3 linked regions of the Caenorhabditis elegans genome follow. The protein of the gene in region 3 interacts with the protein of the main gene of each other region in a pairwise test. Each region holds a gene or a part of one and is shown on either strand. Other genes may lie near its edges.

Region 1 (6,375 bases), 6.4 Mb from region 3:
ACGCATTTGAGTATCAGATTTAAACGCGCCTCGCAATTTCTTAAATAAAAGTTACAATTTATTTCTTTAAAAATTTGAAAAACCTAAATATTATTGGAGTGGGTTTCATATTTTTAAAAGGAGAAAAAATATTTTTAAAAAATTAAATCATAAATTCATGTCACCATAATAAAAAATATTTTTCGACGCTTTGAATACTTCAGCGAAATAATCTCTTGAATTAAGCTTTGTGATATTTATTTTTGTCGATGTAGTACATACTCCACAATTTGTCGGCTACCCCTAACTAAGCATATACCGTTTTCCACATTAGCCTTGCTCCCCCTTTCCTCTACGTTAACCGCTTTTATCCCGGTTTTTTAAAAGTGTTATCAGAAAATTGTCAACTCCAGCAACGTCAGGACTTGTTTGGAGTTTGTGTGCCTACTACAGTTTTCTAATCATTTTTCCACTGCTATACACCACTACACCTCAAATTGCAAACATTACGAAATTCCGCCCAATGTTTGGTTGTCATTTCTTTCGAAACGTCGGTCGCTTGCTAATCGTTGGGTATATAAGCAACGTTGACTACTAAAGTTTTCACTTCGGTCCGGAGATTATGGGTTATCAATTTGACAATTTCCTGCCAGCAGGAAGCCCTGGTACCAGGGTTTGGTACCGCTCATGTTAATCTCTCCGTGTTCTTCATAGAATACAAACCCCTTCCCATAATCACCAACTTGACCGTTGTTTTTTGTTAATTTTTTGAATATCAGGGTAAATGTTTTTCAAGTCTTATTGAATAAATATCATGAATCTTTGCAATTATAATTTTTCTCGAAACGTTTTTCCAATTTAATCGGGTTCACATTTTTATAATTAAAAAAAAATGTTATTATGCGAATAGCTAACAAAAATAGAAAAGCAGTGTTTAATTAGAACTTGATACATATAAATAAATGAGAACTTGTAAACTTTTGGAATTTTGCGAAGAAGTGTAAAGCTTGATGACGGAGTACAATGTCGAGCAACAATCAATACATAACGGATCGTTCCATTCTTCGAGATTCGGACATCTGAAATTGAAGTTTTCTTTTTCTTGTAACAAGCAGAATTCAAAAATAAACCCTTTATTTACAACAACACGATTTTTCAGCTTGTTATAATTATGTTTTTTTTTTTGCTTGAAAAGAAAATTCGAAGCAGACAATATAAAGCTTTACCAAAAAGTTGGTGGGGGCGGACAAGGAAACATTCAATTATTCAACCCTATTATTTATGAACAAGATTTTGTGAATGAGGGGATGGGGCAGAAAGAAAAATCAATCAAAAAAAAAAGAATCATGCACAACACAACGAAAGAAGAAAAAAGCAAGTTTTCGTAGATCTGAGACAAAATTTCAGAATTTGGAACTTGAATCAACGAGCACTTATTAATACAAGAACGATAAGCGGTTTTCAGTCAGTGCTGCAAAGAGATGCTCTTAAGAGTTGAATCCGAGTGCATTCATTAGTTTATTCTTCAATCCAGTTTGAGATGTGCTCGTTGTCATCGAGTTTCTGGATCCACCGATTGTAGAAGCCATCATCGACTGGCTCATTTCATCGATTCCGCCCATCGCTCCACTTCGTAATGGCTCATGCTGAAAGAGGAAACAATACTGAAAAGAGGAAACGAGTGACCAAATTCTAAAGCACATCACTATCACTAAAATACAAAAATAAGCGTTTTATGTGTTTTTTTTTGTTACTGGAATTGTTATTGATGGGGGCTTGGGGAGGACAAGAATATGCTTCGTATTAAATTTAAACTTTAATTTTAAAAAACAATTCGTTTGAATGAGCTTCAGATTTGTGCAATATTTCAGTATTTGCCAATTTTGGTTCAAAAGTTGGCAAGACATTGTTCAGGCAGCATCTAATTTTCGGGTTAGTTTGAAACATAGTTTTGGTCAAAATTTTATTGTCGAATTTTTGATGTGTGCGGCAATTTTCGAAATTTACCGTGTCCGGCAAGTTCGGCAACCGGCAAATTCGGCAAATTTGACGCACTCCCCTGGTTTGAAACAACTGTTGTCAATGTTTTAAGTTCCAAAAATACATGTAAATATGAAGCAAATTCTTGTCACTGGGGTATCGGGGACGCATACAACATTTTACAACATTAATATCTAACTTCTAAATTTTTTTTCTGAACTTTTGTATTTTAAATGCAGTAAAGCGTGCTAGATAGAGAAGCCATGAATGCAGAAAAAACATCATTACATACCTGTTTCTTTGCTCTCAAGGCGACATCTTCCAATGTTTCGGCGGCTTCATATTTTCCTTGTCGCCGGTAAAGGGCTCCAAGGTTCTTGAGAGTTGTTGTGACGGTTGGACTGGAATCAGTTTTGTTTAATTTATTTTTTTCTAATAAAAATCATAATACCTATCAACTTTGGCGGCTTTTGCCCATCCAGCTTGTTCGTTGGCAGTTGCACCTTCTCCCTTGTGCTTGTTCTCCTCTCGTTCTTCAGCGATTTGCCAAATTGGTTTATTCTCTCCACTGATCTGTCCGAACTCTCTTTCATGAGCTCTGGTGAGAATTTGCTTGTACAACTCCTCAGCCTCCTTATATTTTCCTTGTTTCAAGTAAGCAGATGACAAATTGTTCTTGGTCTTTGCCACATTCGGGTCATCAGGTCCAAGTTTGCTCTCGTAGATTTCGAGAGCTCTCTTGTAATACTTCTCGACTTCTTCATACTTTCCTTGATTTTGGCAAAGAAGAGCAAGATTATTGAGTTGCTTGGCCACATCTGGATGATCATCTCCAAGAACTTTCTCGCGAATTTCAAGAGCACGCTTGCAAAGCGGTTCAGCATCCTTGAACTTTCCACGTTTTCCGAACAAAACTGCGAGATTGTTGAGAGTGGCGGCAACAGCTGGATGACTTTCTCCAAGACATTTCTCACGAATACTGAGAGCCTCATTCAGAAGATTTGCAGCCTCTTTGTACTTGTTCTGATCTCTGTAGACAAGTGCCAAAATATTGAGCATTGTGGCAACATCTGGATGATCGTGACCACTCGTTTTCTCCAAATCTTCCAAAGCTTGCTTGCACAATGGAACTGCAACTTCATAACGACCTTGGGAGGCGTATTGAATGACCAAGTTGTGAAGTGTGCGAAGACGAGCTGGAATTTCGTATCCAACATTAGCAGAAGCCGCCATTTGGTTGGCTGGTGTTGGTTGGTTGAATTGACTAGCATTCATATCTTCTTCGTCTTCTGGTCCAAAACCAAGTTCTTGAAGAGTTTCGTTTGTGACTGGTTGTGGTCCAACATCGACAGATGTCTTAGTATCACTTTGCTGAAAACAAACAAAATAAGTTAAGAATGCTCCTCGAAAAATTCAACTTACAGTTCCATCATCAAATTGTTTGATTGATGCCATATACTTAAGATGCTTGTTCTCCTCTTCCAATTGAGCAACCATTTGCTCCGACTGTTGAAGTTTGATTTGAGTTGAACTCAACTCATCACGAAGCCACGCATTCTCCTGGCACAAGCGTCTCCGTTGAGCTTGGTATTTCTGATGTTGAGCATCCATTCCTTGAGTGAGTTGGAATACCATCAGCATCAACGATGTCTCATCAACTCCGCACACCAACTTATCCAAATTATCGTTAATTTGTGAAAGCTTCTGCTTCGGCAATGGAGCTTCATCTTCTTTCACACCTAAATGATTGAATTTTAGTAAATGTTCAACTCGTCGTAAAAAAAGCCATACCTTTGACACTAGTCTCCAAAGTATTCGAAATTGTCGAGTGTTCCTCACGAAGAGCTTCAAGTCCCTGCTGAACGGTACGTAGGCCCGTCGTCACGTCGTCCTGCGACATGTTTGACATTTTCGCCAGCGACTCGATTTTTCGCCTGAAATTTTAAATCTATTAAATGTAATTGGAAGAAGTTCGAGAAGTGTTGGTAGCTAACGAGAAAATTTTTTCAGTGAGTAAAAACAGTTGAATCTATGTAGATCATAGCTATTAGGTCGTTCAATAAGTTTTGCGATAGTCTTTTTTTTTAATTTCAGATTTATCAGAAAAAATTAACCCTTTTTTTCTTTTAAATGTAAATAATGCCAAAGTATGGCACAACAAAAATTAATTAAAATCTTGCATTCTCTCAAAAACGTAGAACTAGATTCAAAAAATATTTTTCCATGAATACTGCTCACTTTGGAATTCTAAAAAATGCAAAAATTTGAAAATCAGCCTGACAGTTTTATACCATAGATCTATTTGGTGCAAGAATTTGGAAAATCTATTATTTAGGTAAATATTATCCAGTTTCAATTTTATGGCTGAAGTTAAAAAAAACGCCAAAATGAGCTCTCAAAGATTGAGGAGGGCGTCTTAAATAACAGCCCTGCCATTTGCTATTGAAATACAGGAGATCGTGGCGAGACCCCCTGAGAAAATACGCATGTGCCTTTAAAATGACATTCCACATTTTCACAAAATAACGATAAACTTATTTTACACCGAAACGTTGCTTTGAAATAAGTTGAAATAAAGCAAAAATGTTCCAAATGTTCAACACGTTTTAGAGAAAATAAAAATCATCGTGGATTGATATTTTCTTTTAAAAATTTGTAATTTTTATTTACTCGGTTTTTGAAATTTTTAATTTGAAAAAATCAAGGCTGCACTATGCGCTATAATTTTTGAAAATCAATAGCATTTCGTGGTAGAACTAATATATTTCTTTGATTTTGCTAGGTTGAGTTGCACTAGAACAATTTTGGAAAAACTTTTAGAAAACTGAGAAACTTTTTGGAATATGTCAAAGATAAGCTAAATATGTGCAACACTATAGGTACAAATTTCGCAATATAAGCAGAAATGAAACCAAATTTTAACTTTCTAATAATTTCTCTCCTGCAAAAGCTCATAAGAAATGGTTCTGAACATAAAGATGCTAATAAAGTGTGGACAAGTAAAACATAACGTTGTTCGGAAAGAGTGTTTGGTTGTATTAACCGAAAGCCCGCTCTCGTCGTGTCGGCGAATAGACAGCGAGACGTGCGCAGCCACTGATGAGAGATCATAGAAATATTAGAGACAACATAGAAACTATTGATCGTCCGTCCAACATGGAGGAAATGAGAGAGCAAGAGACGGAGGCGAGAAAGAATTGCGAAACAATTGGAAAGATGCATCCTTTCATAGTTAATTGCAATGTTTGGACACCTGAGTTTTTATGAAGAATACATCTAGGATTTGTTTAGCTTCATATGCAAAAAAGTATCGAAATTGCTTTGTTTCTCAAGAGAAAGGTGGGATTTCAGAAAATATAAAAACCAAAAAATAAAACATATTAACATAAACTTCTCATGAATTATTAGAATTTGGGCAAAGAGTTTTGATTCATATATTCACTATTTCTGAAAACTTGTCATAAGATCTTGCAATTTTGAATTAGAGGACTAGGAAAGTAGATTTCGATTTTTATTTTTATTTTACGGTAGATGCAAATTGAAATTTTTTGAAAATTAGGGTATCCGCTTAGAATGTACTGTACATTTTTTGTTACAGCCCTAGCGGAAATAACTTTCAAACATTTTTTGATGAGTAATGCATGTGATAAGAAAATGATTCAACACTCTAAATTCCAATTCTCATTTCAAATTAAAAATATAACTTACTGGCGATATGCCTGAATAGTAGAACCGGCCAAATTCATGATGGTATCCAGCTTGAAAGCTTCCACGAGCACTTTTTCGTATTCGGCTCCAGGATTAGTGTCTTAAACTTTTCAGTTTAGATTTATGATGAACAGAAGAAGGAGTTAAAGAGTTTGAAAAGTTCAGGAAATAGCATTTTATTACGAGGTGCATGTATAAAGCATATATATTTCTACCAAAAAATCAAAGTTTAGGCCTGTTTGTTATAGTTAAAAACGGTTATTTATCTCTAGTGTCAAATATCGAACAATATTTTGGTTCAGCATGTATTACGTAGACGTCTGTAAATGATAATTTTCGCCATATCTTACGCGCAAGGTCTCACCACGCGGGCAAGGAGTTACTGTAGCTCGTGTCGATTTATGAGCCACTATTGCATAATACAGTTATACTCGCTGTTCTCGTGGCGAAACCCTCGACAGAAATGCCCATTTATAAACATCTACATAATAAGGGCATATTAAATTGTTTTTGGGAATCAGAAATTTTCTATTTGGCTCAAATTTGCCCGTGAAGTATGCTCGTAAAGTAAGACCAGCAATTTTGTGAAATTTGGAACTTGTTGTGATCACTATAGCTGAGATCGTGTCGAGACCCACTCAGAAAAAGATCGTGTGCCTTTAAAGCGGGGTTTGACTGTTCACGAAAAAATAATAGACGTCTAAAGAA
Region 2 (6,364 bases), 420 kb from region 3:
AGAATACGAACGTTGGCGTTCAGAAAAATGAACTGGAGCTGGTGCAACTGTTGGAACGGGAGCTTGTTGATTGTATCCGTAACTTTCCGAATTTCCACCAGACACTACATTTGAGCCAGGGGCTGACCCGTACATTTGATATGGTTGGCCTACAGTTTGAATGTTGGAATAACCAGTATGAGTTGGAAGATACTGTGGATATTGATAGTAGTTTCTAGATTCTGGTAGAACTTGGTAGGATTGAGTGAGGACGGATGGTTTCTGTTGCAGCTGTGGTTGATTGTAGGGACGATTGCGTGAAGTTTGTTGCTCGGAAACATGAATTGGAGCAGAAGTGACAGTTGATTGGTGGGATTGGTGGGAACTCAAACCATCGTATTCGTTGGCAATTGTTTCACCGATAAGAATAATGGAAAGCAGAAGAGCAAGACTACCTTGACGACCCATTTTCTGAAAATGACACACATTTCTTTTCTATATTCCTTGTTTTGATTAATGCGGAACTGATGTTGGCATGTAGAAATAATCATGGTTGTTTTCGTCTTTTTTCTATGAAAATAAATAAGGAAAAGGAGAAGAAGAAGAATGAAAAGTTTCGAGTGAAAATATTAAAAAAAAAAAAAGATAATTTGCAGAGAACAATGGGGAGATTAAGAAATTAAAGAATTTTGAAAGGGAGTGTCGTTGATTTGGATACGATCACTCAAATAATGTTCTCAAATACACTTAAATTTGGTTTTGATTTTTATAGATTCATAAGTCTATCCAAAATAATCGTGACGAGACCCACCGAGAATCTGAGCATCTGTCTTTCAAGCAATATCTCAAGATTTCACGATTCGCCGATAAAGGATCAAACATACCATTTAATTTCAAACTCTGAAATTTGAAATCATTAATAGTAAGTATGTCTGAATTATTCTAAAACTTAATGATGGGTCCTATGTACACTTTTTTTCGAAAATAATCGAAAAGCAGAATGTTGATAAATTTTAATTTAATTTAATTTCAATGGGGAATGTTCAAAATATGAAATGCTACGCTTGGCGATCCGTTTGTAGTATTTCCCTGACAATTTTTTATAATCCGAAAAGTTGCTGGAAATATGAAAATTTGCCAGTACATTTTAAACTACATTCATTGCAAGGTTGCAGATTTTAAGAGGAAGATATGTACCAAATTACCAAGTTGGTTTATTTTGCAAAAGTGAATGAAATAAGAGAACATGATGATTTTCTAAGTTTCCAAATCCATCTTTTATACTAGGAAGCTTCACCTTCACAACTTAAAAACCTGTACTAGTTTTCCTTTACTTCTCATATTTAATCCAATAAGTCTCTTCTTTCATTGATTCCTATTTCCAAATGTTTTTTCACCAATAAGCTTCACCTTTCTCTTTGTTATTTTGTAGATCTTTCGTTTCAGTTGGTATATAATTTTGTTCACAAAGATACGTTTATGTAACCTTCTTTGTCAACAGAAAAGGTATATTTCGTTAATCCTTTTGACTTTGATTCTTGAGATTGGAGAAATAAAGAAGAACGAAAGTTTTAAGGGTGGAACAGTGTTTTTCGCTGACTTTTAGAAGAATTGAAAGGCTTCATTTGATTGGATAGAGTTTTCGATTTCTTTGATATTTTCAAAGTTTTTGGATTTTATATGGCTTCTAAACTTTGATGCACGTCATAGTTTCAGAGACTTTGATAATGTTGAGATCCTTGCTGAGAATATGATTCAGTGTTTATTCAGTCTTTTATATGACTAGAATAATTTAAATTTAGATATTGTTATATATTGTATCTTTAGTAGTTTTCTGACCAAAATGATATAATTAAAAACATTAGCAACTTCTCAAAACAACTGGCAATTTATTCCAACTATTTAAAGCCGCCATGAGTTTTCAACTGAATTAAATGCTACAAACAATAACATGAGAATCAAGGTTACTATGAAATAATAATATAGTACATAAGTTCTGATTTCAATAAAAAATAACTATTCTGAACAAAGACCAAAGCTTATCACGATGATTATATATTTACCGTAGTCCACCAGTCACCACAATATTTTTCACATTGTAACCCGTAATTTGCACTGCTCGCTTAGCTTTCTTACATGGTCATACTTCTAAAATCACGCAACAAGATATTTATTCTCTCGCTTTCTTCAAGCATTTTCATTCGAAAGCTCAGATAAGCTGTTCAACACTCTGAAATCAGTGTTGTGTCGATTTATGTCTAAAACAGTTTGAAGAGCAGGAAGAAAATTCTGTGGCGATAAGGTGCACTGATCCGAATTCTTTTTATCCAGCATTTCTTTTACTCAAATGACGTTTCTAATCACTTCTTATCAGAAAAATAAATCCTCTTCCACTGAAGAAAAAACGAGCTGTGCCATTTTCTAACTCTTCAGATCCTCTTATTATGCTAATCTAATCCAATATTCACTTCAACATCACTTGTAAATCTTCAGTTTTTGTTCGATATTCTCACAATTGAACCACAAGTCAAGAAACATTAAAACTATTTTTGTTCTTATCCTTTTTGATCTGAAATCGATATTTATATATGTTGTTCAATAATCATTTTACAGTGGGTGTAGGCATGCCGAGCAACCACCGGCTTTCGCTTTGGATGACCGATGATGTTCAGTTTTTGAGGAGTGATACTACCAAAAAGGTGAGTTCTTGAAATTTGAAAATTTATGCGTTTAGCAGGCATAAATATCAAACTTGAATTCTCACAGCAACAATAAAATAATAGTGAACAAACTACTAGAATCTAACCAAGAAATAGGTGCACCTACATACTTGGATATGTTCTATGACCAGGGATTTCTGTTTCAAAGATATTTCCAAAAGGCGCATTTTCTTGGACACTTTTTATATTAGTTAAGAGCATCTTGAATTTAGATATGAAGAGTTCAAAATTCCACTTAAGTTACACTTCAATGAGCTAATAAAAATAAGTAGCTTTCAAAGCATAATTATCGTTTAATTCTGAAATTGTTGCACTCCTTCATCAAGTTTCAGTTGTTATGATGATATTGTTATCTTTGTAACGTTTCTGGATTTCTAATGTTAGTAGTAAAAAGGCACATTTTTGAACTTTAATTCTTAATTTCAAGGTTATTTGGAAGCACTTTATCAGTGTTTTTTCTTGATAAATACTGGGAATTCAGATTTTTTTACCCGGAAGTGTTGACTGAAAATAATTATTTATTTAATTGTGAAGTGACGAATAACATGCTCGTATGCAAAAAATATTGTTCATATGCCTATTGATTGTGAAAACTTTCTGATTTTAAACCATTGCTCTAATTCATTTTATTCCAACCTCTCTTCCTTGTTTCCTTCTTCCACATCATTTTTCTCATCATCATTGTCATGATGGTTCTTAAACCGAAATGAATCAATTCAAGTAATTTTAATTCTCTTTTTCTCTCTCTTTCAAGAGTGTCATGAAATGAAGAAGATGCTTTTTCGTTCGATTCGAGTGTGTACCCTCTAATCCAACGCCTTCACACATTCTCAACCAATGCCTCCCACTCTTTTTCATTTATTTTGATTTCAAGATTCTAAAACCTGAAATCTCTATTCCAAAACATAACTCTGTTGCTTCATAATGGATCAATTCACGTTGGGTCCCTTGATTGCCCAGCAACGTCGCCGTGGAAAACGGAAAAGCTTAACTGTTACTGTGAGTTTCTAGAAAAAAACATGCTCAAACATAATTAAATTTTTTTTCCGTCATGGCTTCTTTAATAGAGTTTTATATGGCTTCCAACTTTAAGTTTAGCGACTAAAATAGCTACAAGAAACCGGATTTTTGTTTTCAAATTTTAGATCCTTATACTCTATATAACCAGACTGTGCACCTAGATCATTGACGACTGAAACTTTCTATTCAGATGTTCTTATTTGTAGAAAAGTTAAGCAAAATATGTGTTCCCAAATAGAGTTGCATCATGATCTCCAGTGTCTCTTTTCCCCTCGCCTTCCAGTCGTGGTAACACGCTGTTGTGTAGTCCAATTTTTTAACTGAAAATGCACGGCAAAAACTAAATTTGGAATGTCTTAACACCAATACGACTAGACCTCGACTGGGTAAAATGCCTAGTCATGCCCTATTAATCTCAGAAAATTGACGCAAACTTCTGAAAATGTTATCCTAGTATTTAGCAGAAACACATAGCAGCGCCATCAGCTGAAAACTATTAGTTGGTTCATGTTTAACATTTTATAAGTATATGCGAAATTAGATGCAATAAAAGGTTCATCCCTCTCGAGAACCCAAGAAGGAAAGGGCACAATCGCCTCGTTATCTTTTTGTATATTATAGATTTCCAAGGGCGTCATCAAATTTTGATATCTGAAAAATATAAAATGAAAAGTGTACATTTTTCATTCTAACAATGAAATAGGCCAGGAAGAAGCACCTGCTTTTGTTGATGTTAGTACAAATGATTTCGATGGAAAATGTGTTTTGAATGAAAATTTAATAATATGGAGGATATGATGTGAATACAGTAGGTCAAAACAGGATTCAGGCGAGTTGAAAATCAGATATTTTAAATTTGCAACTTTTGTGGCTATTACAACGTTGAATAAGTGGAGTGAATAACTTGTAAGTTTTACCTATAAAAATAAATACTTACATAGTCCGTCTACGATGTAAAATAAATTTAAAAACTATTTATTCTGTAATTATCTACATACATTAATTTTTCTATTAGTATTGCAACCGTACAGCTTTTATTTTAAAGTTTATATCTCGGTTGTTTTGAATTCTATCAACAAAAAAATTTCAGCTCAGAATACAGAATACGGGTTGAAGTTTTTCTATAGTTTTCTATTGGACAAATTTTGATAAAGCCGAAAAAATCAAATTACCAGTAATCAAAATTTAAAACGGTTTCTTCATGCACTCTAAATTATATTTTCCGTTTGTTAGCAAAATTTCGTCTAAAAAAAAACAAAACGTTGGATTTAGTACAGTATTTTCTATTGAATTCCGCAAGGTTTATTATTAAAACTTTAATTTGAATCACATGTCACACTGTTCCAAAGTCCAACACCCACTCCTACGTGAACCTTCAACCCGAAAAATAACCTGAAAAAGATATTTTGAGCACTTTGCATACAAGAAGCCTAGAAACCGGATACATTTCAAATACTTGAACCAGTCATGTTCTACGTACCTCTTGCATTTATGTATGTCATCCTAGATCTATCCAGGTCACCACTACCTCACTCCCTCTTCTTTCATCCCCGATTAGTTTCATTCCAATATTGAGCAGCTACCTTTTCCAGAATTTCTCTGTTTTCTGCCAAAATCGCTTTCCGTAGATATTTACGTCATAAGGAATGGTGAGTCCGATCCGTCATTTTGACACCAAAATTGGCGCTTTTCTTTTCTCCGTTTCCCATGTTTTCACTCAATCGGAAATGAATAAAAGCACAATTGAATAGTTGTCTGGGTGATGATGGATATTTATGAAATTGAATGACGACGTAGTTAAATAGAAAATTTTGAGTGAGATTTTGAATTCTAAGAATGACCTACAATTTTTCACATTTAAAATTTATATTCTTATTTAGAATTGTTCCAAAAATAACTCGTTCTGATCCATATCAGGTGCAAACTTCCTAAAGGTTACATAAAGAGAAATGCTAATTTATTTATTTGATTTTGCACTTTACCTCAGTATTACCTAAATTTCGTTTGATTACAGTCAGAAAACCAAGACGTCTAAGCTTCTTAGGTATTTAAATTTCAAACGTCAAAGGTGGTTTCGAAAGGAAGGATATATCTTGACGTAGGTCATTGATTGCATATGTTTACCCACGGCAGCCATTATCATATTTCAAAATCTGCAAATCTATTTTAGGATTTATATCAAAATGGTAGTTATGACGATAGTACTGACCATAGATAGAACAACAGATTTCTTGAATTTTTCACTTGTCAATGGTGAGGCAAAGAGTAGGGATGTTCTCTAAAAAATGAAGCAACATTGAGATATACTTTCCAGAAGAATTTAAAAAGAATATATAATAAGAAAAAAGAACAATCAAACCATTTTCTGTAAAAATACTAAAGCATATATTGGTTCAGAACATTTTCAATATCTGAAGTGGATTTCCTGATTAGTACTGAAAGTGAATATTTTTGCAATGAAAATTTCGGTTGAAAAAAACTGCGGATGTTTCCAGAATAAATCAGAGAGTTACGTATATGAAATGCCTTAAAATTTATCCGATTGGGTTTTGAAAGTTGAAAACATTTTCCAAAAGCAAATTCTATTTCTATTATTTTTTTCTTTACTAAAACTTCCTTCTTTCTTTAAAAAGTTATATGAATTC
Region 3 (4,809 bases):
GCAAAACAGACATGTTTTTGAAAAATAATATTAAGACAGTTCAGACAAATTTTTGAAATATTTTATATTCAGTTTTCGCATCCACAATTTCGGAAGTTGACCAAAAAGTGGATTTTCTACGAATTTTTGATATTTTAATAATTTTCCGTTTTTCTAGAGTATTGTACGGTTACAAACATGAACCATTGTTCCAAATTCTCAAAAGTCCCGAACTTTTCGTAGCGCCAATTTACCAAAGAAAACTTTCAAAAATCTGAACAAATGCCAACTTCACATAGTATTCCTTTTAAAATGTGAATTTTCAATTTAAGATTCGTCTCACCGATCTTCTTGCTCGATCAATGGGAAAACCAAGAGAGAGAATTGCTGTCGAGGTATATTAGTAATCTTTAGTAATTATTAACTTTAAAGTTTCAGATAGCCGCCGGTGCTCGTCTAGTTCATGGGGCCACTCATGATCCTGTGACCGTAATTTCGGTAAGTGACTTAGGAACACTTTCCAAAAGTAACACCTTGGTAAACCAAAACCTTTAAAACTACATTTAAGTTCCTTGTTACACTTAGAAAGGAAATTAAAACTTTATGAAACCATCCTTTTTCTGGCAGAAGTTCAAAATTCTCGCAATAATAAATTCTTTAGATCAAATCAATCGGAGCAGTGTCTGCTGAAGACAATATTCGCAATACGGCAGCCATCACTGAGTTTTGTGGAAAGGAATTGGGTCTTCCAAAAGATAAGGTAAGTGTAGTTTATGTCAAACATTTAAGTCACAAATATTTCGTTATGTTTTATTAATCAAACAATGGATTATTGATATTTCAAAATTTCAGGTTGTTATCACATTCCACGACTTACCACCAGCTACGGTAGGGTTCAACGGTACAACTGTCGCCGAAGCAAATAAGAAATAATTTTTGATGTCAGTTGTTCATAATGTGACTAGATTAATTTTGATTTCATGCACTTTTGTAATTGCTCTTCGTAAATTTTAATAAAGATATATATATTTCAGAAGATTTAAGAACAAATTTAAATTATGAACATTTTTATTTGGCAGATGGTAATTACAAAAATTGTGTACATAATGCATTTAGACCTTGGCCTTTCCGGCGACAACTGCTGATTCAATTCCGCATTGATCATCTCCACGGTAGATCTTGAAGAAACCGCTCTCTCCCCAGTTAACTCCCCATGAGTTGGCAACAAGCCAGTATGGAGATCCGCTCTCAGTTCCCCATCCGATGATCTTAATGGCGTGTCCTCCGAGGTACTTTCCGGCGGTGTGCTTGTAAACTCCGCTCTTGTATTTGTAGAAGTCTTCGTAAACAGAGAATGCAGCCTCAACTGGTCCATTAGCGTAGATTTCAGCTTGGATGGATGCAGCATTCTTTGGAACAGCGTAGGCAGAGACTCCTGAAATAATATAATTATTCCACAATTCTATGTAATTTTTACAAACCGAAGTGCTTGTCCTTGGCGTAGGCAGTTGAATATCCAGATTGGCAGCTCATTGAGCAAGATGGAGTCTTGGATTCTGGGCAGTTTCCAGATGTGCATGGGGCAATTGGGTATGGTTTGCATCCAGCTCCGTGGTAGTCTCCACCAGTAACAACTCCCTTTGAGTCCCACCATCTGAGAGCTTGAATTGGGTATCCTCCTTCACATCCATTTCCGCAGGAAGATCCGCAGCAGGAGAGAAGATCATCTGGAGAGATGATTGGTTGTTGGGCTCCCTTGGTCTCAATGCAGGTACGGTCAGAGATCATCTCAGCTGCTCCGAAAGCCCAGCAGGATCCACAGGTGGCTTGGTCACGGATAAGCTTGATGGACTTGCACTCGGACCATTGGGTACGAGAATCGAAGGTGGCTGGGACAGAGGCGAGAACAACTTCTTGTTCGGTGGCACGGATTTCATCGGAGTGGGCAGCAGCGTACTTTCCATCCATAAGCTTGAATTTCATCTCCTCCTCGGTAATCTCAACATGCTCAGTCTTGAACAAAGATTGAGCTGAGTTGACATAATCAACAAGAGCCTGACCGGTGAGGGTCTCAACAGCCGATTGATGATTGATTGGGACAAAGGCAAGCGTGACTGCGCAGAGCGCGGTAAGGATAAGGAACTTCTGAAATGTCAAGATGAATGCCAAATTAAAAATCGAAAGTAATTTTTATTTGAAATTTCCTAACTAGAAATCAAAGACTTACCATATTTGTTGAAAGAAGTTGAGCGATAAGCTGCCTTCTTTACCGCACGTCTCCCTTATATACCATTTTACAATGTCTTATCAATCTTCCGATTCTGTGGTTTTCTCTAGTTCTTGACGTCGAAAAGCTTCGTACCAGTGCTCAGTGCTCACGTGCTGCCCTTCCTTTTCTTCTTATCAGTATTTGATCGGTAATTCGGAACTGATTTAGGAGAGCATCTGAACCGGAATTCATCTGTGATACCAATTCATTAAAAGGAATTCAGTGAAATTTTCTAGTTTCTGCAAACCGAACTTGGGAACAAAAAACGCGACTTCCGATCTATAATCTGTCAAAAAGTTTCCCGGCAACACGAAACACAGTCAACAGAATTATGGCTGGATTACGGTAGGTTTCTGATAATAAACTTCATTTCAGTGTAAATGTCGGCAGTGCTCACAATTTCTTCGTTTACTTAGGAATAATTATTTCTTCACATGACCTTTCCTTTTAGTAAAACACACTTTTTATCGTAGGCATTATAAGATCAAAAGTGTATTACTCAATGCACGGCGAGAATATCAAATGTTTGAAACAGAAAAATTGGTTACATGTTTAAATTAATAAAATATATTTAAATGTTCCCTGATTTTCGAAAACACATATTTTCCCACCAGGATTATGAGCTTTCGTCACAACTTTTGAAACAAAAAATTAATTATCCAAATGAAAAGGAAGTTGAAAAAAGTCACGTACATTCATCCCGTTTCCCCACTTTTTCATTGACTCCATGTCTTTTCATGATGAGATCATTTTGCAATTGATACATTTTCTATCTATTTCAGTAAAACAAAAAGTAGATATTTGAACGATAAGTTCAAGAATAGTTATTCAATGTAATGAGAATTGCAACTCTACAAAAATTTCCACAGGATAACTCGTCAAAAATAATAACTTTTTTGGACGTTAAAATCACATTGTTTTTTCTATACATATATTATGTCTAGACCGAGGACCTATTGAATTTTTACGTCCAAAATTAAACGCTCGTTGAAAGATTTGATGCTGAAAATCATTAAAAAATATTTCAAAAGTTTTTAGAATATTCAAACTTGATATGTCTACTGAGTTTTTTAAAAAACTATTTCAAATTTCTTCCAATGGTGCTAAAATCATCTTTAAAATTTTAAGTCAAGTGAGTGGAAAATACTTACTTTTGACCTATCATAGTTTTGGAAGTCTGCCAAAAATGTTTTACAAGTTTTATATTTTGTTTGCAATTTGTATTCAAATAGGCTTAGCATATGAGGCACGTTTATCAATGAGTCCAAATCTTTCAAAAATTGGTATTTACCAAATTTACGACGAAAATTGTGAAAACTCTTGAAAGAATGTATTTATTTTTTTCATTATTTTTAACCTAGGTTGAAGATATTTTGACAACACCCCAACTGGAGCTACTCCTACTCCTGCTGCTCCTGCTACTGTTTTAAAATAAGTATTGTAGGTTAAACTTTCAGAAATTTCACAAGGCGGAACAAAATTCGAAAACAAATCTTTTCCACAACCGATTTCCTGCTTCTAATCTTAGCAACTTGACATCTCCCTTCCCAACATTTTCTCTCTTGCAATTTGCTTTTCATTCATTTTTTGTTCTGCTCCGTCCCTTCAAAACTCTCGACAACCCACAATGGCAACCCCACGCGGAGCATTGTTCTGAACTATTCGAGCTGAATCGACGACTTTTTTGGGTCGACCACCAACTCATTTACAAGAAAATAATAAATGACGAGGTTTTTATATACATTCAATGGGTTTATAAAGTGAATCCATCTGAACATAAAGTCAATGAAAAACCAATTATCAGCTACTGGAACCATAATTATAAACTTGGTGAGGTTGTGTAAAGTATTCAATCAACTATTTAATTTTTTGCAAGTGTATAATAGTTTTGGTGAGTGGTTGAACTTTTGAGGATAATTGAGGGGTTGGGTGACGTGAAGCAATATCACAGTTTAAACGGGAAGGTTAGAAAAAAGGAGAAAAATGAAATCAACTGAACACCTCAAATATCATCTACTATAACCTTAAAAAGTGTCTCAAAGTTTATTAAAACTATGAAATCATGAAGACAATTATTCAATGTTGTGGTATATAGACAATCGGAAGTAAACTTGTGTGACTAAATAAAAAATAATATTTAACGTTCCAAGAAACTCTGAATTTTTGGGATCAAAACCTCGTATACTATGTCACAGAATCGGAGGCCCATTTGCAAGCCCGGGGAAACCAGTTGATGTGAGAATATTCAAGACGACTTTTACAAATCGCAGTTAATCAATCAAAAAAGCCTAGAATTTAGTTGTCCCTGCCGTTCCGACTACTTTTCTCTCAACTCTTCAGACACGGAAAGCTATAATTTATTTGGACCAACTATTTTGACTTCCTATCCTGTCAGAAAAAAAACAAAGGATACAAATATATATTCATTTTTGTAGCTCCAAAATTGTTACTCATGAGGATTCATAAAAATTCAGACTAACTACTTCAACTAGCTGTAACTGTTCAACTGGCTGTGAGTCAGCAACGTGTAAAGAACCAGCACAGTGACATTATAATGAAGT

The links.
Region 1: the proteins of cpr-1 (region 3) and klc-2 interact in a two-hybrid assay, tested with the Caenorhabditis elegans proteins (one large-scale study listed by BioGRID).
Region 2: the proteins of cpr-1 (region 3) and twk-14 interact in a two-hybrid assay, tested with the Caenorhabditis elegans proteins (one large-scale study listed by BioGRID).

Annotation. Positions count from the first base shown.
Region 1 is NC_003283.11:5,575,637-5,582,011, forward strand, and holds klc-2 (Kinesin light chain), read right to left. Parts: upstream 3,869-6,375; coding exon 3,751-3,868; intron 3,699-3,750; coding exon 3,382-3,698; intron 3,331-3,381; coding exon 2,411-3,330; intron 2,361-2,410; coding exon 2,252-2,360; intron 1,626-2,251; coding exon 1,467-1,625; 3' UTR 1,101-1,466; downstream 1-1,100. UniProt on the Caenorhabditis elegans protein: Kinesin is a microtubule-associated force-producing protein that may play a role in organelle transport. The light chain may function in coupling of cargo to the heavy chain or in the modulation of its ATPase activity.
Region 2 is NC_003283.11:12,391,933-12,398,296, reverse strand, and holds the start of twk-14 (Potassium channel domain-containing protein), read left to right. Parts: upstream 1-2,603; coding exon 2,604-2,678; intron 2,679-3,552; exon of another isoform or gene 3,553-3,623; coding exon of another isoform or gene 3,624-3,698; intron 3,699-6,364. Other genes in the region: K01D12.5 (Prion-like-(Q/N-rich)-domain-bearing protein), read right to left, coding at 1-447.
Region 3 is NC_003283.11:11,972,980-11,977,788, reverse strand, and holds cpr-1 (Gut-specific cysteine proteinase), read right to left. Parts: upstream 2,239-4,809; 5' UTR 2,210-2,238; coding exon 2,207-2,209; intron 2,125-2,206; coding exon 1,461-2,124; intron 1,415-1,460; coding exon 1,092-1,414; 3' UTR 1,033-1,091; downstream 1-1,032. Other genes in the region: MIF-like protein mif-2, read left to right, coding at 312-374, 418-477, 641-739, 832-912. UniProt on the Caenorhabditis elegans protein: Thiol protease. Has a role as a digestive enzyme.